Linked DNA regions of Neodiprion lecontei. The protein of the gene in region 2 binds, or shares a complex with, the protein of the main gene of each other region. Links are inferred from orthologs where the notes say so. Each region holds a gene or a part of one and is shown on either strand. Other genes may lie near its edges.

Evidence for each region.
Region 1: GATOR complex protein Iml1 (region 2) and GATOR complex protein NPRL2 share a complex: the UniProt entries of both Drosophila melanogaster proteins name them as parts of the GATOR complex. The link is inferred for Neodiprion lecontei from reciprocal best matches to the Drosophila melanogaster genes Iml1 and Nprl2.
Region 3: GATOR complex protein Iml1 (region 2) and GATOR complex protein MIOS share a complex: the UniProt entries of both Drosophila melanogaster proteins name them as parts of the GATOR complex. The link is inferred for Neodiprion lecontei from reciprocal best matches to the Drosophila melanogaster genes Iml1 and mio.
Region 4: GATOR complex protein Iml1 (region 2) and nucleoporin SEH1-A share a complex: the UniProt entries of both Drosophila melanogaster proteins name them as parts of the GATOR complex. The link is inferred for Neodiprion lecontei from reciprocal best matches to the Drosophila melanogaster genes Iml1 and Nup44A.

What each region holds. Positions count from the first base shown.
Region 1 is NC_060264.1:242,681-247,719, reverse strand, and holds the start of GATOR complex protein NPRL2, read right to left. Parts: upstream 3,001-5,039; 5' UTR 2,876-3,000; intron 2,798-2,875; exon of another isoform or gene 1,954-2,797; coding exon of another isoform or gene 1,687-1,953; intron 1,575-1,686; coding exon of another isoform or gene 1,278-1,574; intron 1,157-1,277; coding exon of another isoform or gene 948-1,156; intron 850-947; coding exon of another isoform or gene 555-849; exon of another isoform or gene 175-554; intron 1-174. Other genes in the region: putative nuclease HARBI1, read right to left, coding at 555-849, 948-1,156, 1,278-1,574, 1,687-1,953. UniProt on the Drosophila melanogaster protein: An essential component of the GATOR subcomplex GATOR1 which functions as an inhibitor of the amino acid-sensing branch of the TORC1 signaling pathway.
Region 2 is NC_060263.1:5,519,336-5,523,986, forward strand, and holds the start of GATOR complex protein Iml1, read right to left. Parts: upstream 3,001-4,651; 5' UTR 2,699-3,000; coding exon 2,348-2,698; intron 2,248-2,347; coding exon 2,122-2,247; intron 1,963-2,121; coding exon 1,679-1,962; intron 1,611-1,678; coding exon 1,423-1,610; intron 1,281-1,422; coding exon 1,084-1,280; intron 988-1,083; coding exon 704-987; intron 598-703; coding exon 368-597; intron 308-367; coding exon 92-307; intron 22-91; coding exon 1-21. Other genes in the region: rRNA methyltransferase 3, mitochondrial, read left to right, coding at 3,424-3,785, 3,883-4,124, 4,197-4,352, 4,448-4,651. UniProt on the Drosophila melanogaster protein: An essential component of the GATOR subcomplex GATOR1 which functions as an inhibitor of the amino acid-sensing branch of the TORC1 signaling pathway.
Region 3 is NC_060261.1:40,160,293-40,167,543, reverse strand, and holds GATOR complex protein MIOS, read right to left. Parts: upstream 5,286-7,251; 5' UTR 4,916-5,285; coding exon 4,795-4,915; intron 4,691-4,794; coding exon 4,493-4,690; intron 4,370-4,492; coding exon 4,079-4,369; intron 3,961-4,078; coding exon 3,733-3,960; intron 3,632-3,732; coding exon 3,470-3,631; intron 3,265-3,469; coding exon 3,083-3,264; intron 2,962-3,082; coding exon 2,828-2,961; intron 2,755-2,827; coding exon 2,641-2,754; intron 2,458-2,640; coding exon 2,091-2,457; intron 1,940-2,090; coding exon 1,801-1,939; intron 1,722-1,800; coding exon 1,583-1,721; intron 1,493-1,582; coding exon 1,285-1,492; intron 1,199-1,284; coding exon 990-1,198; intron 954-989; exon of another isoform or gene 807-953; coding exon 719-806; 3' UTR 535-718; downstream 1-534. Other genes in the region: replication protein A 14 kDa subunit, read left to right, coding at 36-222, 394-482; ras-related protein Ral-a, read left to right, coding at 6,520-6,624. UniProt on the Drosophila melanogaster protein: An essential component of the GATOR subcomplex GATOR2 which functions as an activator of the amino acid-sensing branch of the mTORC1 signaling pathway.
Region 4 is NC_060260.1:39,269,462-39,275,443, reverse strand, and holds nucleoporin SEH1-A, read right to left. Parts: upstream 4,340-5,982; 5' UTR 4,166-4,339; coding exon 4,055-4,165; intron 3,888-4,054; coding exon 3,731-3,887; intron 3,655-3,730; coding exon 3,393-3,654; intron 3,305-3,392; coding exon 3,071-3,304; intron 2,958-3,070; coding exon 2,667-2,957; coding exon of another isoform or gene 2,615-2,666; exon of another isoform or gene 2,100-2,614; intron 1,790-2,099; coding exon 1,612-1,789; 3' UTR 522-1,611; downstream 1-521. Other genes in the region: anillin-like protein 1, read left to right, coding at 5,673-5,702, 5,871-5,982. UniProt on the Drosophila melanogaster protein: Probable component of the nuclear pore complex (NPC). Involved in maintaining the localization of another nucleoporin Mgtor to the nuclear envelope of early meiotic female germline cells.

The DNA.
Region 1 (5,039 bases), on a different chromosome or scaffold from region 2:
TCGCATACAATTTTTTGTAGTGGGTGTATAGCTATAAAACGAAGAAGAAGAAAAAGAATTTTATAGTGTATGTTTATGTGTATATAATTTTTATATACACATATTTTAACCTATATCATTATGTAAATCTCTATACCGGTTACTGATAAATAAATTGTATTGATATGTTAAAAGGAATCCCGGTGCAGACTTGCAAAAAAATGCGCGTGAAAGGGACAACCTTTGATCTTCAAAGTTCAAAAGAGCAACTTTAGTTCTATTTACTGGCTGTATTTATAATGTACTGAATATTTTTACGTAGACAAATTTTCATAAGTATTATCGTAACTATAAGACTGACGCTTAGTACAATTACGTACATATCAGTATTTTCATGAGTAAGTGAGGGGTTTAAAAATAAAATGAGAACCAATGATAAGTTATGAGTAAAATATGTATTCTAATGTTAACTGTTTGTACAGATTAAATTCAATTTTATTAAATATTTGGAGTATATTCATTCTAAAATCAATTAGTCTTTACAATTAAATTAACTTGATATACATATATTTTGATTAAATGAATAACCGTTCGATTAGAGCTTCGCGTATTGCAAAACCCTCTCCAGGCTGCCAATGCGGTGCTTGAAGTGGCAATTCATCCGCTTCTTCTTCCTCGATGCGATTATCTTCCGGAAGAGCATTATCCAATGTTAGTGATAAATTGTGTAGTACGGCACAAGCTACAACAATTGTGGTAGAGCACAACAATTTGGTTCCCAAACCTCGGGATAGGCAAGGAAAACGTCGCTTCCAAACTCCAAATGTTCTTTCAACAATTTGCCTTGTTCTGCTTTGTACGTTGTTATACCTATCAAGATACCGACTTGGTTAATTCACACATGTATACTTTGTCAATTTTATGACTACTTATCGAAATCTAAAGTAATGCGATAATCTTTATCTTACCTTTGTTGAGCATCTGTAATTGGATTTGCCAGTGGAGTCAGCAGAAATGGCAAGCACGGATAGCCGGCATCTCCAACCAGGGTTCCAGTAAGTTGTCTCTCATGATACCGCATGTAAATTCGTGAATTTTGGAATATTTGACTGTCATGGTTACTTCCAGGCCATTCCGGAACCACATCCAAGAATTCCATATTGGGTCCGACAACTGCCTGTGGTATCATTTAAATTAAAAGTACCGATTTTCATAGAATAGTATTGTTTATTTGTATCCTAGATAAAATTAATTGCAACTTATGGTATTTGTAAACGGTTATCACCAACGCGACATACCTGTACATTGAGGGAAAAATATCCCTTACGATTCCTATAAACCTCCTGCAGGTCTGCAAATTTCGTATGACATAATCGAATGTGAGTGCAGTCGATAGCGCCATCAACGCCAGGTAAACCGATACCCTCCCTGCGTGCACCAAGTTGTCTGAATAGATCTCTGTTTGCGATCATAGCAGCTTCCGTACTAGGAAATTTGATAATTGCGTGAATCAATGATGCAATTTGAGCCGATACTCTGTGTATTATCCTCGATACTGTAGACTGCGATATAGTCATCAGATCTCCGTTGACGAGCTGTACAGTACAAAATGTATTAGCAATCATTTATTCCATGATCACAGGAAGCAATGAAATCACTTTATATTTTCAGTAGAATATCAGGAATTATAATCACAATGATCCTTACTTGAAAGCTAGCGGTAGCGTAAAATCGTAGACATATTAATAATTGCATGACAGGTGGAATTGGTAGACCACGATTATTGGCACTGACTAAGGCAGCTTCAATTCTAGGTAGTATTCCGTACATAATACCATCCTTTGAAAATCGGAATCGCCGTTTGAACTCCTGCTCGGAATAAAACTCGAACGGGTTTTGACCATCTCTGATGTATCTCTTCGGAGCTCGCTGTACTTCACCCTCGTCTTCGTCATTCGGCCCAACGTTGACCATTGAACAATCATATTATTCATTTCTTCGATCTGATCGTAGAAATTAAACATATCTTGCATATTCGCCATGTCAGTAGAATTTCACTATTCACTTCACTTCACAAATTTTTCAAAGCGAATGCTCTCATAACCTCTACTTCAATTGCAAGTTTCCGTTGCTACCCTTTTACAGTAAATAATCCCGTCCCAGCTGCACTTTCCCAAACATTCCTTCACAATCTATTCCTGTTAATTTATATTGTTCGAATATAATATTTTCCAAACAATTCGTAATTATCAATTTCGTACGCATCAGAACAATTGAGTAATATTTAGGCAACAAGCATTTGCTTAAGTGCAGTCCGAACTCGACTTGATCAAGATACGTAAATAAGACTGCGTTAATTGACTATGAAACGTTGCGTGCTCAAGACCATGCTTATTTCAAATAAGACTGGACTATGCAACCTTGTAAGCACGCTTCGAATAAGACCGACTTGATGAAGACCGTCTTATTTGCCGCGTCTCAAGACCGTCTTGTTTGACGTCTATGGAACCAAACGCCATCTTAAGGCCTCGTATAAGACCGTCTTATTCGAGTCCGGTCTTAAGCACTGACTATGAATACCGGCCCAAGATACGTAAATAAGACTGCGTTAATTGACTATGAAACGTTGCGTGCTCAAGACCATGCTTATTTCAAATAAGACTGGACTATGCAACCTTGTAAGCACGCTTCAAATAAGACCGACTTGATGAAGACCGTCTTATTTGCCGCGTCTCAAGACCGTCTTGTTTGACGTCTATGGAACCAAACGCCATCTTAAGGCCTCGTATAAGACCGTCTTATTCGAGTCCGGTCTTAAGCACTGACTATGAATACCGGCCTAAGTTAATGAGCGCTTGCCTTTTACGTCAATTTTCTGACAAAACACGACACTGACTAATTTCATTGGCCTATTCTGCTAGATCCGACTGACGACAGCACCGAGTGCGTTCCGATATTTAGATCCATGTGCTTGTTGTAACGGTGGTTTTACCACGTGCATTCCGTGTGTGACGAACACACCTACTTTGGTTCCTCCCCACTACCGCCTCTAGAGGCAAAGTTCGGTAGTCATCGACGAATAGCGTGTAATACTCATAGATGGTGATACTTGACACGAGAAATAGCGAATGCAGAGAGTTGTGTCAACCCAGTGTAACGTCCGACCGGAACGTCCGTATGTTTTATCGACTATTATTACTGCATGTTACTTTTATCAACTAACCAAACTCGAAGTACGAGAATCTTGTAACCATAAGAAATTAAAACAACTGTCTAACTATTTGGAATATCCCTAGATGGAAATAACTATGAAATTCACTAGCCAAGGCTTAAAAACCATGTTACGAGATCTTCGTACCACAGAGAACTATAATACTATTATACGTTATTATATATCACTATCATATTAACACTATAATTAACTAACACAATTATACCCAATTATTATATAGCACTCAACAATGCCATTTGTGCATTCGGAGCTGAGAGCTATACTTAAGCAACATACGCTTTACTATATAGCCTGGAGTATAGAAGACTGTAAAACCATAGATAAATGCATAACCAATATAATGTAAAGATAGCACTGCTGCAATAACCCATAAAACCAGAGACTGCAAAACCATCAAACCGTGAATGCTAATTACCCAGCATGAACTATACCTTCTTTCGCAACGCCGTATTGTAGGCAACACGCGCAACGTTTTGAAGGCAATGCAGATCTCCAATGTGGAGCCAACAGAGCTTCACCTAGAGAATACATTAGGAAACTTACCGACGAAACGAAAACGTTCTAGAAGCTTCCAAGCCGATTTATATCAATATAAGAATTAACAACTACAGAAGGGAATCATATACAAAAGCACACATGTAAACCTGCTCTAAAGCTATGAATCATCAAATTACTAAGTACCCTAAATCTGTTAAGATAGTTATAACACAAACAACTAAAGATATTCGCAGCAGCGTGATTCTAATAATGCTAAACAAATAACAAACTATGTTCATAAACAATTGCTATTGTACTCCAGATTAACAACGACAGTAGTCGACTTTAATACATATGCAATTCTATATAGATACAACTATAAAACTAACAACGACAGTAGTCGACTATAATACATATACAATTCTATATAGATATAACTATAAAACTAACAAACGACAGGTAACCAAAATGAAATATGGGCTTTGTAACGAGCAAGATAGCAAAAACATTCAGAGGTAGACAGGTAGTTAAGTGGCTGACGGGCGCCACAAAGGGGCTGGCGCCACAAAGGGGGCTGGCGCCACAAAGGGGGCTGGCGCCACAAAGGGGGCTGGCGCCTCAACGAAAAGCTCACGCAGTTCAGAGAACTACGGAACAAAGTCCACGCACCTACACCACCGCACCAAGCAGCGATATACCATACGTAAAAACCTACAATATAGTAATAGCTAAAGAACTAAGATCACAGGCGTGCATGCGGCGAAGATGTCGTGCCCTAATTAGAATTCCTAGAAAAGAGGGGAGGTGCGCAAAGGCGACCAAAAAACTAGAGAGGGGGATCGTTCTGCGCAACGATCGACCCCTATAAAAACGGCGACCGATCACTCGATCGCTCTCTTGTGTTTCTACCTCCAGATTCGTCATCTAGTTCCGGTACAGTCTCGCGGTAAAATCCTTTAGCCTTTTGCATTAAAACTTTCATACAACGTTACTCTGCCCAAAAGTTCAGCGAGCTTCAACTCCATTTTTACTAAGTCTAAGATCTTACACTGTGTAACTCTGCGTTTGTGACTTTTAAATATCAAACTTATAAAATAAACCAAGTTAGTCAAAATATCCAAATATTAAAGTCAGTTATTCCACTAAGACCTCTCACCAATCTACAAGTCATCGCATCCAGAATACTCTCAAAAAGGTAAGCCAAATTAAATCTTTTATCCAACAATTTCTCCCTCTTCGGTTCGTTCGACTAGAGCGACAGAATGCCCGTTGTCCGGTGTATTTCAATACTTAATCGGTAATTGGTGACCCAAACTACTGATGTGAGTCTGGCTGTAGCTGCGTGTGAATG
Region 2 (4,651 bases):
GTATAAGCACACCCGTAGGTCCTGAGAAATATGACACGCGAAATTATTGCAAGAAAATACTTACGGAGTAAATGCAGTCGCGATACTCCACCTTTCGGAAAAATGTGAGTCCATCTTCGCCTGTTACTTGTCAACTTTATCGTTACGTGAGACGGGTCAAATGGATTGATCAGAGCTCTTCCTGGCCTAATGTTGTTGGGTTGAGTAACGGAATTGGTAGGACTTCCAGCACTACCGACGACTGGTCTGAACGGAGGTGATATCTCCACATCTCCATGGTCATCAATTAAAGATATTCTTGGTTTTGCTATGGAAAATTGTATCGATTTAGCTCTGTACTTGACATGTAACAACTATACCATCTTACAATTAACTTCTCCGTTAGAGTTGACACTTATCAAATCGTCCGCTCGATGAGGAATCGAAATTGCTGCACTGCGGGAGGCAACCGTTGGGGAAGAATGAGTATCGGGAGGTGGATGATGTATATCAGGATCCGACATCTTTCTTTTCAACAATTTAAGAGCCTGGGAATTGCTGTGCGTTTCCATGCAGGCTACACTAGTTTTCTTTGTTCTAGTCGATACTCTCTGCAAGCTAGATTACAAATTTATAAAAAATAACAAATCGAGTTTAATACAAAATACAAGTCTTCAAATTAATTTAAATTATTATAAACTAATTGTTAAAAAAATAGTTTCACCTAGCAGTATGAACAGGTGGTAACTGGAAAACCTGAGCATCGTAGGCATCATAGTCGAACAGTGTATTACGCAGACATTCGCTGCCATCTTCCTGCAGAAGCTTTGTCTTGTTTGGCAATTTTCCACACTCTGACGGTGGTTTTGATATTTTAGGTGGTAACTTGATGCGAGGTATGAAGGTTGAGTAAGGTATTTTTTTGTTTGTCGAATAGAAACTGAGATTTATCCAATGCGGCATGCTGTAGTCGTCTGCAGCATTTATCGACGTATCTTTGTTATGGAACTACAAGAATTTTGTCTTATAATAAAATATTCTTATGTGATAATAGAATTAACACAAGAACTCTGGTTTCAAGATTTCAACATAATGGAACAGTACCTTTAACAAAGGAACTGCGTGCAGCGGCTGTTCTCCCACGCAAACCAAGTCACTACCCACACCATTATCAATGATTCTTTGTTTAGTAACGTTGGTCAATTCTCTATCAACTTCGAATACTCCAACCCCCGGAGTGATAACCACAGAAAGCTGCCCGGTTCGATCAAAACTGCGATCCAGGTAGTGTTTTTCGAAAACTAAAAAAGAAAGCATATCACAATATCGTACATCACATTGCATAATAATTTCGTAATATAAACTTCTTGCGAAAGAAATAAATTGCTATTCAATTTCCACACATCTACAGGTTATTAGTCAATAGTATCAACTATCGCTCACCGTTCAAGGACATATTCAGAACTTCTAAGAAATTCCCTTGAGCAGCTGTTGAGTTTATGGCTTTTGGCATAACAATTCCAGGCCGTTGGTGATATTCGAGGACAATTTTTTGATAATCGGTAAACAGTTTTCGCAATTGAACTAATATATTGCTCCAGTCTTCGTATCTCTCATTTTGTACAGCAACTCTATAACACACGTTGGAGATGTTTAAGATTGAGCATTTTGTGGTGGATGCCATTGATATTTGCATTACCTATAAAAATCTTCGTAGAATCTACCCCGATAATCGTGCTGCAAGCACTCTCTCATGTGATTGGGAAATTCTTCAAGGCTTGTCGCGTTATAAAATGTTCGTGAGAATAAAACTATCGTCACTTCATGGTTGCTACCGTTTTTCTTCCACTTTTGAAAAAGATCAGCTAAAAACCCATTTACTGCTTTCTCAAAATACAAGTCTCCATGAATATCAAAGTCCCACATTTCGGAACTCATTTGGATAAACAGGTATACCATGCTTGTCGACGAACGGAAGACCACCTATTGTGAAGACAATGATTTAGAACATTGTTATCAATGTTAAAGCTATGTCGATTGATTCGTCGAATTCAAGTTTAATAGCTCGATTATTGCTATAAAATTAAGAGCTTTTTGATTGTATCCTTGGCCAGATTTAGCAAATTGTTACAGATATTTCACCTTTGTATCGTCAGTTATCACGCCACAGGCAACTCGATCCCCCTGGGACCACATTTCGTGTACTTGGCACCTAATGCTTCCTCCGCAGAATTCGATCTTCTTATTTAAATACACGCACGTGTTGACCTAGAGAAATTAAGATTTTAAATCAAAGTTCGATGAGATGGGAGTTTGTTTAGTGGGAAACTTTATCGATACACAATAAAAGAGTCAGACTTTTAATTACCAGACAATTTTTCAATCTCCACATCTCACTACGCCCCATATATTGGTCCTTGAAGGTAAGCTCGACAGAATCCAAGGCGACATCGTCGGGATTGACAATATTCATGTAAACATCAGCGAATGTTCTAAGTTGAAAAGTGGTCGCAATGTTATTTTCAACACTGACGGTTTCTCTGCCTTGTAGATCCTCCTTGAAGGCGGTGATCTGCAGAAGCAAACGACTGAATTCATCTTCCGGATGAAATATCTCAACGATATCGCCTTTCTTTATTCCCGGATAATCTTTGGGATTTATAATCAAATCCTCCCCACTAAAGTTCTTCTGATGAACGATCAACTTGAACAGCTTCATTTTAAGCTGCTGATCATCAACAACGATGGTTTAATTTATCACTGGGTTAAGAGGTCACCTGACCTCCGCAGGCTCATCGACAGCTATGTTCGAGGGGGATATATTTTCAGCCTGCATTATTTATCCATTGATCCATTGTCTTCCAAGATGAGTGTCGAAACCGGCGATTAGCAATCACAGAGTCCAGAACTGAGAAACAATATTAAACTAAACGAACTACTGTTAACTAAGCATTGTCTCGCGGCTCACTTCGCGACCTCCACGTTCATCTTGGACGACACACAGCGCACTTTACGTGTCAAAACAATCGACACACGCTCCCGACTGAACGATTGACGACGACGCTTGCGTAAATATCTCTGTTGCTCTCTACGATTCACGAATCCGGTCACGTGTCGCAATTCGCAATCTGCATATTAACCACGATACTAACCTGTTTTCAAAGCAAAACACATACGCTCCTTTAATTTTTATGGTGTGGTGTGTGGCGGCACGCATGTTGCTACAAGAGCTCCAGCTTAACCTCAAAACCGGCGTTTTGCATATCACGGGCAAAAACAATTGAGTTACGATTGCGTCATTCAAAAAACAAGTGCCGGATATATTACGGACTGAAGTTGCTCTTTCAAATAATTTCAATGCTGATTGTAACACCGGTCAGCTAATTATTAGAATCAACGCTGAAAGTGTAGCGGTAGAAAAGAAGAAAGACACACACACATGTTATGAAAATGGCATTTACGTTTACAACAATGCAAAGCACCATGAGGTGTCTTCAAAGTACAATAACTCAGCGGCAGATTAGCGCTCAAGTGTTTTTACGAGTCAAAGGCTACAGTCGGTGGACTCATCGCAAGCCATCAAAAATTGTTAACGAGAAAGATCTGTACAACGATCAGGAGCACACCGTTCCTCAAAATATTCTGCAGACCGCCCAGTTTGCATTTGCCCGACGACAACGGCTCAAGCTGGCCGAAGACAAGAAAGAAAACGCAAAGATTCAAGAAGAGCAGAGGGAAGGTGCCACGTTGAACAATGACGGGACTCCGATTTTCACTAAACTCGACAGGGACGATCCCATAATAAGGTACGCATTGCGGATCAACTGGACTTGATCTCGTTTTAGACATAACTTTTTATCTTCTAGCCTTTGTTTGTGATTCACAATTTACTCGCCGTTACAGCTCTTTAATGCAAGTCGTAAGATCGCGTAAAAAAGATAAGGATGACAACAGAATTCTGCTGGAGGGATTTAGATTGATCGAGGATGCCATAAAAGCCGGATGTATGCCTGAGATAATTATCTTCAGCAGAAAATCTGACATTGCCAAAATATCTCTACCCAAAGATGGTGTCAAGCTTTACAAACTTCCATATCAAACGATACAGCTATGGTCAGATTTGACTGTTTCCCCAGGCATTATGGGTAAGTTGCCAATACTTCCATTTTGTTTTCATCTGGCTAACGCTCGACTAACAATCTGGGATTCTCGTTTAGGTATATTCGTAGCTCCCGATGTAAGTAACAAGGAACCTTCTCCCGATGCGTTACCAATAACTGTGATATGCGACAATGTAAGAGAGCCCGGAAACTTGGGAGCTATTCTTCGGGTTGCGGCTGGAGTCGGATGCGAGAGAGTAATTTTAACCAAAGGTCCGTACCCGAAGAAATGAACTTGATTGTTTCGTTCCAATCTACAATCGAAGCTGTGCTCAAATTCACTTTATGTTTAAACCTGTTAATTTTAGGCTGCGTGGATCTTTGGAATCCGAAAGTGCTGAGATCAGCTGCAGGTGCGCACTTTCGCGTGCCGATATACAAATCACAAACGTGGTCAGAAGTGCAGTATTTAATAAGCGAAAATGCGAATATTTTCGTTGCTGACAACAATTCGGAATCACCGGTAGAGTCCAATGTGGATCTCGGTACTTCAAGCTCTGATTCTAGCTCAA
Region 3 (7,251 bases), on a different chromosome or scaffold from region 2:
GATTTTTGTCAACAATTTGGTATCTCTTATTTCAGATAAATCCTAGCGGAACAAGTATGGAGTTAAAAACCAGTGACAATATGATTATCACAGTTTCTCTTTCGGAACCCATCGACAGCCACCTAGAAGGTTACATCGAAGTTCATGGTACTGTACAGTCTAAGTCATCCATCTCCTGTAGCAACTTCGTTCGCTTCCCAAATGAGATGACGGAAAAATTTGGTAAATTATCACAGATACATCATTTCTTAGAATCTACTCCTGATGTATGTCTATGCTATTGTATATGATTTTGCTTGACGTTATTTTATCTTTTGGCATTGAAAAAGTACAATGGAAATTCTCTAGTTGTTCATAACTTGAAAAAAAGAATATAAGTTGAAATTTTTTCAGACTCGGAACAGTACAATGACCTCATCTTACTCTCCAATACATTGGGTAGCAACAAATGGAAAATGTCTGAAACGAATACCATTTTATGAAATTTTAACTTTCTCACGCCCTACTAATATAAATTTTCTTTTTCGCTGTCAAGTATATCACCTTCAACACATTCGAATATTCTGACTTTTTTCAGTATACTTCGCTGAAGTTGAAGCTCAATCTTTAAGGCTTAGAAATGTTCTAAATGATAATTAAGTGAAAGAAATAAGTATAATTGGTGAACGAAATACTATTAAATAATCGTTTATTACAATTTAAAATTATGGTAGAAAGATTATACAACCCCAACTCCGATCTTGCAAGATGCATCTAGTGAAAAGCATCTGCACGTACAAGATGTTACAGGGCATTCCGAATGCTCTCTGAAATATAATTTGTCTGTTTAGAGCAATGCAAAAAAAACTTTCTCTCTAAAATTCCACTCCATGCATTTTGTTCGATGTAATAAATGATTGGAACCACGTGTGCCACTCACCGATTTTGATGAATAAACTGATTTTTTCAATGTACAACAATTCAACTAAATTTACATTGTAAAAATTCACCTAAACCAGTGCGTGATGTGGTTGGCGTGTCCACCATGTCTGCACGTTTGACACCAAGTAAACCAACTACTAAATTCCGTTAGTTTACTATCCTCCTCCCCTCTATTTGGTGTGGTCCCTCCTGTTTGTAAACCACTGGCTGTACCCATGTGCATGAGACAGATCGCACAGCGGGGTAGAGGTTTGCGACAGCTAGGACACGAAGACATCTACAAAGAAATCACAAGCCACGTTGGTTTTTGCAAGAAATTTACGGGGATTACACAAACACCGAAATTGTGAACTAAACTTTTACCTTCAATTTGTTGGACGTACTCCCAAGCCTGGCAAATGGTCCTCTAGCTCTGCTTAACCCCTGCATATAAGCCGAAATACTTTTGCCACAGAAATTGCAAGATATGTATACTTGTTGTGGAGGTTTCTCATTCGTTGAAGTTCGCATCGCTATATCAAAATGTGCTCTTTGATTCCACATTTTCCAAGCATCCAAAAGCGTTCTATAGCTGCAGAACAGTTGATTCTGGTTAGGCGATTCATTATTCTCTAACAAAAAGTCGTATTTTCTTCGTGTTACTAACTACAAGATAGACTACCTTGCAATCCAAACTTGAACTTGATTGTCCTGAAGCAATTTCGGTGACAGAGCTCGAATGGCGATTAGGCTGCAACTTTGGACATCACCAGTGATTTCTAAGTACCTATTTAGTAACTGTATCCCGTCTGAACTAGCCCCTGAAGTGGCACATACAGTTCAAAGCATTTTAAATTTAGTTTTTTGAAATTAATTTTCAACACTCGTTTAATTACTAACCAGTAATCAGAATCCCGGCTAAGTTACCGTCATCAGTTAATTTTTGAGTCAATTTTTTGAAATATTCATGTAATTTACTATCAGATAGAAACATGAGCGCAAATGCCACTCTATCCTCAACAGCCATTCCATTCTCATTCTGAAAACATAGATTAGTGACGATTATTACAGACGAATGAAACTTTTCCACATCTATCCATTTCATTTTTGCAGTGAGAAATATTCAGTAATTCATCATAAAAGATTCTACGGTCATCTAACAAATAAATCGTAAAAATTACTTTACTCACCAAAACATTTTCATACGAATCATTGTCAGCAGTGAGGAATGCAAATGTTGCTCTGAGATATGGGTCAGTTAATTGAGATCTAGATTTTAAGCAAAGCTCCCGCCACATACTATTTCTATCTTCAGAGAAGCCTGACAAAGCCATAGCAACGATATTTAAATTTGTTGCTAGTGACATTTTGTCCGCCCCTCTATTCAATATTTCTATGGCTTGCCTCAGTCCAAGATTGAAAACAGAGATGGCTGCAGCTCTAGGATAAGCTCCTTCCCTCTCTAGTCTTTCCAAAAATGCATTATTATAAGGCGCGTTCGTTTCTTTATCAAATCTCCAACCACACAATTGAAGTGCTTTATCTCGGTCAGGTGACCTGTGATAAACATTTATTTTTGGCAAATCAAAGATACTTATTGTTAGCATAATAGAGGATATTGTTCGATGAATCATTTCGTTGATAAAGAATATTTTTGTTTTTGTACTTCATAAGCTTAAAGTGTATCGAGCAAACACATAATTCATATTTTCGGAATTATGACACCTGGTTTTTCTTTACCTGTATATTTTAGCACTGTGATTTGACCCAATGTCAGCCCACAGTCGAAGCACTAATTCAGACTTAATGAAACCGTTAGTAGAAGTCGGCTGTCCATCAAGTTTCAGAACAGTTCTATGGAGAGTTACAAAGTAATTATCAGAGCATCTAACAGTACGGCTATAAGCCAAAGAAAATATCAGTTTACCTGACACCTGGGTGCTTATTGTCTGGACTACATATTGTTCCATCTTCCACTAAAGAACGACTCAAATACAGCCATTGCCATAAATTTTTCAGGGTCTCATTTTCAGCTAGCTCTCCATTTTGCGATAGTTCGGCCTTAGTGAAAAATATAATTAATTATTACAATTTTAAATATATCAGAATTAATTCTCTTAAATCGTTCTATATGAAGATTTGTAGTTTTAACAAGTCCATGTTACAATCATCCTATACTAACCAGAAGGCCGTAGTCTCGCATGGCTCGACTTTTCGTTTGCAGTGAAATATCGTTCAAGGATTTGTATATGTTGTCGGTGCTATAAATGTATTTGAATGATTTTGAAGCATGGTTCCATGCTAGATATGACTTAGTTGACCAGTTGATAGTAATTCTTTCAAAAACAGTGTAGTCCGTCAAACCTGAAATATGCAAATAACTTAGGAATAGTAATGATGTATAATTATAAGCTGCATTAGTTCTAAATCGAGCATTACACCTAGCTTGAAAGAAAACGAAACTGTACAATAGACTTATATTTGCGACCATGTATGGAAAATTCGTCCCCTCGTACTCCATGGTAATACGTAAGAGATACGAAAACAAAAAAAAATCAACTGCACACACCTTGTTGCGATATAGCCAACAATCTATTCGCGTGAGTCGGATGCCATGAAAAACTTGTAGGACTAGACCATGGTGGGGCGACAGTTCTTTCTAAAGCGCCTGGCTCTGTTTCCTCGCCGCCACCAAGCCCACAATGCTGTACATCGTGAAGATGCAAAGATCCTGTGTGGTCAATGATTAATGAAAATACATTTCACCATTAATGAACAAGTTGAACCACTTTGTTTCATTTAGCAATTTAAGTATGATAAATCTCACTGTACCAGAGTCTTTCTGCAGAGATCCCAGCAGGTTATGCCTTGAAGGACACCATAGTACTTTAGTCACTTGTCTGCTCTGCGGTAGGGTTAATATCGGTTTTTCAAAGTAACGAGTGTCCCATATAAGAATTTGATTTTCAATATGGGAAACTAAGTGATAATTGTTATGAGGATCTACTGACAAACTGTACACTGCTTTTGTTGGCGTTGAGTTCACTACCTTCACACAATCTAAACAGATGATTAATACAAAAAGATGTTTGAATCAACACAAATAAAAGGCAGAAGTTCCAATTATCCTTCATTGGCAATAAATTAATTAATAACCACCAGTACCATAATGTCTTACCTCGAAAATCAATAATCTTTAAATGTTTGTTATTGATTCCAACAACCAAACATCTTGGTTCGTTAAGGAACCAAGCGAGGGAATGTGCTGTTTCAGAGACTCCAGCCTCTGCTATAGGTCTGACAGATTCTGCCTGCATGTTACTGTGGTGATGCGATCCAGTTGGACTTTTCAGGACATCCCATAATAAAACGGAAGAATCCGTTCTGTGCTTATCCAAGCCACAAATTATTAAATTTGGGTCTACCGGATTCCATGCAACCGTATTGCATTGCCTTGCATGCCTCGGAGCTAGCAAAGTGATCACGGATATGATTAGAAGAAAAAAGCAAGCTAAAATATTATACCGTATAACTTAAAAAGAGAAGAAAATGAATACAACTTCCAGAACAATTATTGGTGAATTTCATTTACCAAGTTCCTTGCCAGTAAGTCCAAGAGAGTCGAATGCCGTTGGGCCAAAAGTAGTTAGTACAACTTTACCATTCGCTTGCCCAACTGCCAATAGAATGTCAGGCTCAGGTTGGGTGTAAATATCAATGCATTTAACATAGTGATGGTTTGTGTTCGTTGCCAATAAATGGGCGACTGTAGAGTCAGAGATCTTAATACCTGCAAATAATTCTTTTGTTAATAAAATATAAACACCCAACAAAGCGATATTCAAGAAATAACAACAATACGTGTTTTGTAATAGGCTTTGGGTCTCTACTCACAAGAAGGCCTGACACTATCTTTGATTTGGGTAACTTCGTATAAACATATTTCGGTGCCCCAAGTAATGAATTTATTTGGGTGTATCGATGACCACTGAACTTCTAACTTAACGCTACTCATTGTCAAATAATATTGTAGGTTAATTTAAAATCCGTGTACTACCAGGTCGTGTTGTTTACATTAGTAAAATATGTTTCTCCGATAATTAATGATGTAAAAACTAAACCTCTATCACCGGCGGAACATTTGTTTTCCGACAGTAAATTGTGGCGGCTATTGCACGTCCAAAATTGGTTCCATTATACGTTTGAACAATCCGATAAATAGCGTAAAAAAACAATCACAGTGAATCTACCGATTTCGGGACAACATAGCCTCAACGCAATTTGTTGCGCCGTATTTGTCCATTAGCGCATCCAAATAGCGATCTGCGCGTGCGCGAAACTATTTCGCAAGCGAAAAGTCGTTTTCGAAAAGTGATAATTCTGCTAGTGAAGAGCGGTGAAGAAAATTTGAATCAAATATTTTACTTCACCACAACATCTGAAAGTAGTTAACTGTGAGCATATTCTGTGGGATAATCAATAGCTTTGAATTTTGGGAAAGCACCGAAACTGAGTCGGTGACAGATCGAGTGACAGAAGCAGACGACTTTCAACACTCAGCAGCGCCATGTGTTGGCGCTTTAACGGCTCGATAAAGAACCAGCGCGTGACGGATCACGGATGCGAGCGTTCGATACGTCGGGCTTTGCGATTGACCGATTTTTGAAGGTAATTAATCATTTTTCTGTTGTTATTTTTGCAATCATACCCCCAAGAGATTCGCCGATTAAACCTGCATCCGTAAAATAACGGTACACTTTCATAAATTGGAAACATTGCCATATATGAAACACGAATATTGACTTCCTCTGGTAACTAGCACCCGACAGCGCGGCAACGCCTTTTGGTTATTCATCCTACGAATACGCCCTTAATCTTGATGTTTTATTGTGAGATCGAAGTAATTTCCAAGTCTGTACTAATTGGTGTTAAATGCGTAATAATGGTTTCAACAAATTTGATGCAGTAACTATTTTCAAACAACAATGTCACATTGTTACAACTAAACCTCATTACAATGTTTCATTTTTCCGTCAAGATTAAAGTCGATTAGATACGCGTATCAACAATGTATTATTTGTAAACTTTCTAATAGATGACCATTATTTAACAGTATGTCGTAATATCGTAGTTGTGGTTTGATTGTTTTTACATATATTCATAGTTAAATATTACACAATTGACAGCGATAAAATTGGTAAAATTTCCATTTACATCTCAGAGGAGAAGACAGGAAAATTTTCAGTGTCCTAATTAATCAACATTAAGAAAATTCCCATATTTTACATAAATGTAAAGTCTTTATTTATTAGTAGAAAAATTATCAAACACAACAACAATAATGAGTGTTGAGTGCATGCGAGAAACGTAAACATTTGTTCACCTTACTCCCATGGTTCCCATGCTGACAATAGGATTTCCATATCTTTCAGATCTCTATTATAGTAATGGAGGCGTAGTTCATGTAGCTTATAAAGTATTGAGTTTTTTCCTCCAGATAATGAGAAATTCTGTTCTACATGCGCGTAATCAATCAACAATTACATATTATTAAATGTGCAAATTTCAGTCATTTACATTCTGATATTAATATTTCAGATATAAATTCCACATACAAAAATGTCTAAAAAACCAGGCGCCACACAGGCCCTTCATAAGGTCATAATGGTAGGTAGCGGAGGTGTTGGAAAGTCCGCCCTGACTCTACAGTTCATGTACGACGAGGTATGTGGGTGATTTCTTCAGCCCCTTATCAGGCTATCATTCAAACTTTAATTAGATTTGAAGAAGTACAAGGTTCAGTTGATTTCAGTCATTTGGAACGAATGTATAACACTGTGTAATGTAAATAGGTTACTATTCAACTTAACAATCGAAAGAAACTGTTTTGTATCGATTTTTATAATGCCAAACATGAATACGTTGGCGGGAACTTTATCTGAAATGACATTTTTGAGAGTGTTGGTCAGCATAGAGTAACAAACACTTCGTTGCAGTCCTTTTCTGAATAACATGATAGTAGTACCAATCATGATAAGAAAACTTTCCATCCAGCAATGAACCCCAGCTTTCTGACGGCTGGGAAATAGTTTGGAATATTTTAAAGTAACAATCAAGTAGCTGTGGATATTGTTTACTTGATCTTTTAGGGTATAAATTTTGTTTTCACTTTCACTTTCCCATAATTTTGTGTTAAGAAAGGCCAAAAAAGGGTTGATAAATTTCTTTTAGACCTTATGATCCAATTTCCTCAAAATCATTGTGTGATTGTCAGTTGCTAATAACGAAGTTGAAACATAATCTATTTTTGTTATAGACTGCAAGTAATCAATAGTTTCACAGCACAAATGA
Region 4 (5,982 bases), on a different chromosome or scaffold from region 2:
ATCCGTAGCGCATACCACAGATGTTTTCTTTGATCTATTGTTGTAGGTCTAGCGTGACTTCCTGTTTGGATAAACAGGACCTAATGATGTTTTTTTTTTATTCATCGCAATAATGTGAAGAAACTCAAGCTAGAATAAAAAAAATACAGAATATTGGAAGTAAATTAGACATCGAAAATTCGAATTAAATTGTCTGAGCAAAAGTATGGTTAAGGAAAAAACTTTATATTTTTCTACATTTTTTTTTTTTTTTCTCTTTGTTATATTGGTAATAGAAATCATGAGTTGCGATTCAATTTTTGATTGGCAGCATCTGAGTAGAAGATACGAGAATTTAAAAATGTTGAATTCGAAATGCCAAGTGTTTTCAATTTGCTTCCGAGCTCGTGAACTGATAATTGTACATAGAGATTATTGCTTGAATTCTGTAAAGATTTATGAAATTGACAAGAAAAAAAAAAATACTAAAATTGACTCAATTTACATATTATTTCATTTGGACATTCACCAACGTTGTTTATACGGTATTTATTATACATAGGTCTATATTAATTGTGTATGCACTTCTCATCTCGAAGAAACTCAAGTGTTGGAAGGATGGAAAATTTAACGACGCAGAACACGTGTACATAGGTATAGAAAATGAATAAATTGATAGCGTTTGAATAACTGCGTCATGTTCTTCGGCAATCCATTAAAAAGAAAGTGAAATAAAAACAGAATCGGAAGGAACGAGAGACAATGACAAATATTTTCCTAACCGAGTATACCAAAGAAAATTTATTTTCATATTATAAGTACAACGCGAGTTTTTGAACAATATACCTATACATATACATAAACATGTCTATACAAGAAAAGATAGGAATTTAGTTGTTTTTGAATGGAAAAAATAAGTAACCGACTGAGTATAATATAATATCGCTGGAGCTAAATGAATAAAAAATGGGTTTAATTATACGTATTAGGTAAGAAAGTATCACCGAAAGGAAATAAAAGTTAATACCGTATGCGGTATACCCTAATGATTATACGATTTTTATACAGCTGCTAAAAGCCATTGAAAAAATTTTGCTTTCCTTAATACTGCAATATTATACTTTGAACAAATACTCAACAAATATATCCTGCAGCGATCATTGTCTATCATATACATGTGAGTTATTCGATTGTAATCCTGTTATTTTGTATTGCCAGCGAATGAGAATTGTTCTGTTTTTTTTTCTTCTTCTAAGCAACAAAAGTATAAAATTCCAATAAGTATAAATACACAGTAGTGTCTAATACTGTTTCAAAATGTCAAATATTAACGTACGAGTACGGTGAGTTAATTAAAAAATTATCATTAGTATTATTTGTTTCAATAAAGATATTTCAAGTATAACGATTGTCTCATATCGTCGTAACCAAGTATGATATAATATCATTTTAAATATCACATTTATCCGAAGCTCTTAAGGCGACAGAAATCCAGTCTGCGTGTATAAATCAGTCGATAAATTAGTAAAATTTTACTAAAGTATAATTAATCTGCTCCGTTGTCAAATCGACCAATTAATTAGCAAACGTAGTAAGTTATCAATGACTCGCACGAAAGACACATTTAAAAATTTACTTCTTCGATTTTGGGCGTTCTATGATCGGAGGAGGGGGGAGTGACGGTTCGCTTGGATTTCCAAGCCATACAGACTTGCTGAAACGGCCTTTTATTACAGGGGCTTGCCACTTACTAGTCGATAATATTGTCGTCGTTGGTCTCTCCGCCGTAACCGTGGCTATAGATATATTCCTGAAACGACAAAAAGATACATCGAATTATGAAACGAATCATAAATGACGAAACTTTGAAATCTTCTTCTGAAATTTAAACTTCAAATGTGTAAGTTACCTACTTCGTCCAGATTTTAAGTGTTTGGTAACTTGTCTTAAATTCGCAGATATGTAGAATTCATGGATTTAATTTACATTCAACGGTTATAATAAATGTTATCCCTCTCACCCGTTCCTAAATTTCGATGTAAGTAAATTTGGCCGTCTGTTTTAGGAAAAATAAAGAAATTGCAAGATGGGTTACAGGAGAAAATAAAAAGGTGCTCGGGTCTATAGGAATAATATTTATTAAAAACTGGGCTCACATTACAATACAAATATCGAATGCATTAAATGCTAAATAATTGTGATAAACTTACATGGCTCCAAAACTGAGAACGGACATTATGATCTGATGTAAAGGAACTTATTGACGTAAAGTGTAAAATGATATTTTTATACATCTCAAATAAATTAAATACTTTGGTGTAAAACTGTGCGTAAACAAGGGGAAGAGAAAAGAGACTTCTCCATTTTAATACAGAAGTGATTTAATCCAAACAGATCGTTTTTACGACGTATTGACTATTGATTTATTTCTTCAATTCTTTATGATCAAATCTGTTGCTAAAAAATTGATGAGGAGATACGAGAAAAAGAAAGGATGATTACGTAAAGCGGTGAAAATTTTAAGATCACAAATCGTTACTCGCTAATCTGTTCTCAATCGATCAAATGTGAGAGAAAAGTAATGATGTATAAATTATATTACATAATTCAAAACGGAAATATTAATCGTTCTCAATTAGTGCCATGGTACTTGATTAGGATGACTGATGGAACCCAGCTTGTAGTACCTTGTGGTGGATAGCGGTGCCTGAGTTCCTGAGATCGAGTGACTCGGAGGTGTTGCTATCTGTGGAATTTCGGCACTGTGAGCCGAGGTTCCATCTCCCTTCAAAACTGCTACACATTTCCAATTATTCACGTAATTATCTTTCCATAAACGAACGCAGCCGTCATCTCCTGAACTCGCTAATATGGTTCCCATTATGTTCCAGCACACTCGCCACACCGTACAATAGTGATCATCAAATTGGGCAGCAGTCGTAATTTCAAACCGAGACAAACCGCTTTGAGCCGCATCTCTGAGGAGAAAAAAGAACACTTGAGGAGCAATTTTTTTGAATTTTTCAATGCCAATCATCATGCGAGAGTATTTTCTTAAAAACAATTTCTTCCCACTTTTAGCGAAACTTACTGCATTGGTTTTAGCGTTACAATCCGTACATCTTTGGTGGCTATCGCTAAAGTGTGAAAACTACGTCCCAAGTTGGGTGCGAATGCAATATCGTGCACGGGGTCAACGACGTTGGATAATGTCTCTGTTTTTGTCCACCGTCTATTGTTTTCTGAGTATTCGTATATGAAGACCTTGCCGCCACTTGATGCATTCGAGTCGTCGCTGCCAACTGCGAGCATAGGTGGGTGGAGCCTGAAAAAAAAGGAAAAGCACTGCACTTCCCCTTATTTTTTAGGTGTTCAGTTCCAGCAATATTGAAGAAAATTTTGACTATATATACCGCGACAATGAAGGATTCCATGTTAAACAACTGCATGGAAGTTTACAGCTAATTTCATGCTGCAGAGTCCACTGGCTCAGGTTCATCACATCTGGTGCTTCGTAAATTCTGATCACTCCATCCGCGCTACAGGTCGCAAGGAGAAGACCGAGAGTCTTTGGCGCAAACTTAACATCTGTTACTGACGTCCGAGAGTCGACCAAGTTGGTCCGCCGCACCCAATGTCGCATCCCTCGTTCACCGGAGCCTGAACCTTCGCCAACTGAAATTTGATTCGTACAATCAATACAAATGCTCTGCTGCTTATCGTTTTCCAATCCAAGATCAGAAATTTATACCAATTTCTTCCCAGACCGCTGCAGTTCTATCAAATGAACACGTCGCCAAAACCTGACCAAACTCGGGATGCGCCCAGGTTACTTTCCACACAGATCCGCTGTGTGCTTTCCATGATGCTGTCAAGTGCCAGTTATCGTGTTCGTCCTCGTCCCAAACCTAAGAAAAAAACATAACAAAATGAAAGCGTGAACGAGAATACTGCTGTAATATCAATTTTGGCAAAGTGAAGGAGTAGAGAAGAAAATATGTGATTATGCGAATGAAGTTGAGAATATGCGTGAAATGAGCGAGAAATTCGAAATTCGGTTGGAAGCTCTACTCACTTTGACAAACTGGTCGCTGGAACATGTTGCCATGCGTTGGCCATAAAAATCGTAAGCTATGTCATGTATCAGGTCCTTGTGTTCGGCATTTATACTATGGGCTTCAAACATTTTCTACTCTATCATCAACAATCACTTGGATTTAATATTAACAAACCACGCCGCTGTTTTTTCCGCCTCTGGCGTACTTGCAACTCTACTCCTATTCCAACGGAAAACTAGTTTTAAGATTACAGGTTATGATTTCGGATGAGGAAAACTTAAGATTGAGGTTAGGATCGTGATAGAATACGCCAAGTTGAGATGGGATACTTTCGCCTAGCTTTACGCGAATCAGTTACCCGCCCTTCATTTCAGAGATTTATACTCGCAGTTGCCTATATGCAGGCGCAACACAAAATTACACGTCCGCATGAAACATTTACTTAAAAAATTTGTTACTTCCATCTAAAACAATTTTTTAGCTCTACCAACAGCTCGATTCAAAGATAAACCAGAAATGAGTACTTGAAAAAACTTTCGAAGCTTTGTTAATCTCTTGTTTTCATCTATCGGCTAAATCGAATATTTAGTAAATTCCGATAAAACTGTTCATTCGGCTATTCTTACAAAACATACATTTCTCTGTTCACGTAATTGTCTTGAACAGTGGTTCAAGATTTTTCGGACTATTGATTCCAAAATCAAAGTAAGCCTTTTCAAATATAGGAGCAAAATGAAGATGGTTGATTCAATATGATGAATTGAAATGGATTTTGTATTCATCGACGATGGAAAATATATTTTCAATTAGTTTGCTCCAACGTGTAAAATCAGTAAGTTGTATTGGCTCGATATCAACACTTAAACTCGTATTCTTTTGTAGTTCCAATATCACAATATCATATACGGACTAAAGAAAATAAACCAATAATTTATGACTAACATCGTAGTTCTGAATCATCACAACAAATGCACTTGTATAGAGACATGGAAAATTATTATGAATATAAATGCAAAATCAGGGAATTATCAGGCTAGTTGGTCAATTCGATTCTTCAAAGACTCCGAATCGAACCAGAGAAAGGTAATTAAATAATTTAATTCGAAAGTAACATTCACTAAAATTCATGTTATATACAGCGACTTGAGTATAATACGAGTTGTTCATAAATATTCCAAATAATTACTTCACACTGAGATTCGTTGAAAAAATACACGTTCACTTATGAATATCTGTACAACAAAAAAAATTTTTTCATTCATCGTTAAGAACTGATTCATTCTAAAAAGTTTTCACAAACTGCTACAGTCCATGTGTCATATTTCGCGGTCAGTGTTGCACAATAGTACCAGATCTACCTCTAACGCATGTTGACATACAGCAGCGTGTTTTGGTTATATCTACACGTAATAGTGTACTCTTCGAATACCAATAAATGTATTTGAACTTGAGGGGATGACGGTTGACTCATGGGGCCTAGCGAGGTTATTCTCCTTATCTTCCTAGAGTATTTCGCTCGTGCAAATAAAACTACTCCGCTAACGCTGAGAGCTGCCGCATTTTCAAGACAATTTACCATTCTTTGGTGATCCTCGGTGAAGAGTGTTTCGCTGTTGCGTTGTTGTTTCGTCTGGGATGGACTCGACACAGGATCCGTTCACGCGGGTATGTAGAATCAAAAGTAACCGCACACTATCAAAGAGTAGTCGAAAGCCTAATGCTGAGACCGAAGGGTCATAGCAATCGCACGTCCTCGTTGAATTCGAATAAATCATGGTGGGCTCTTTCGAGATCGTTACACCTAGTTATTTTCTAATCAAATATCGTTCTTAGCGCATGCTGCAACGCGCCAGCATGCGTCAATTTCGAGAGGAGAGCTTACATTGCAGTCCAGATCAACTGCAGAGAAAAATGAGTATTTTGCGAGCCATTAATGACAAGCCTG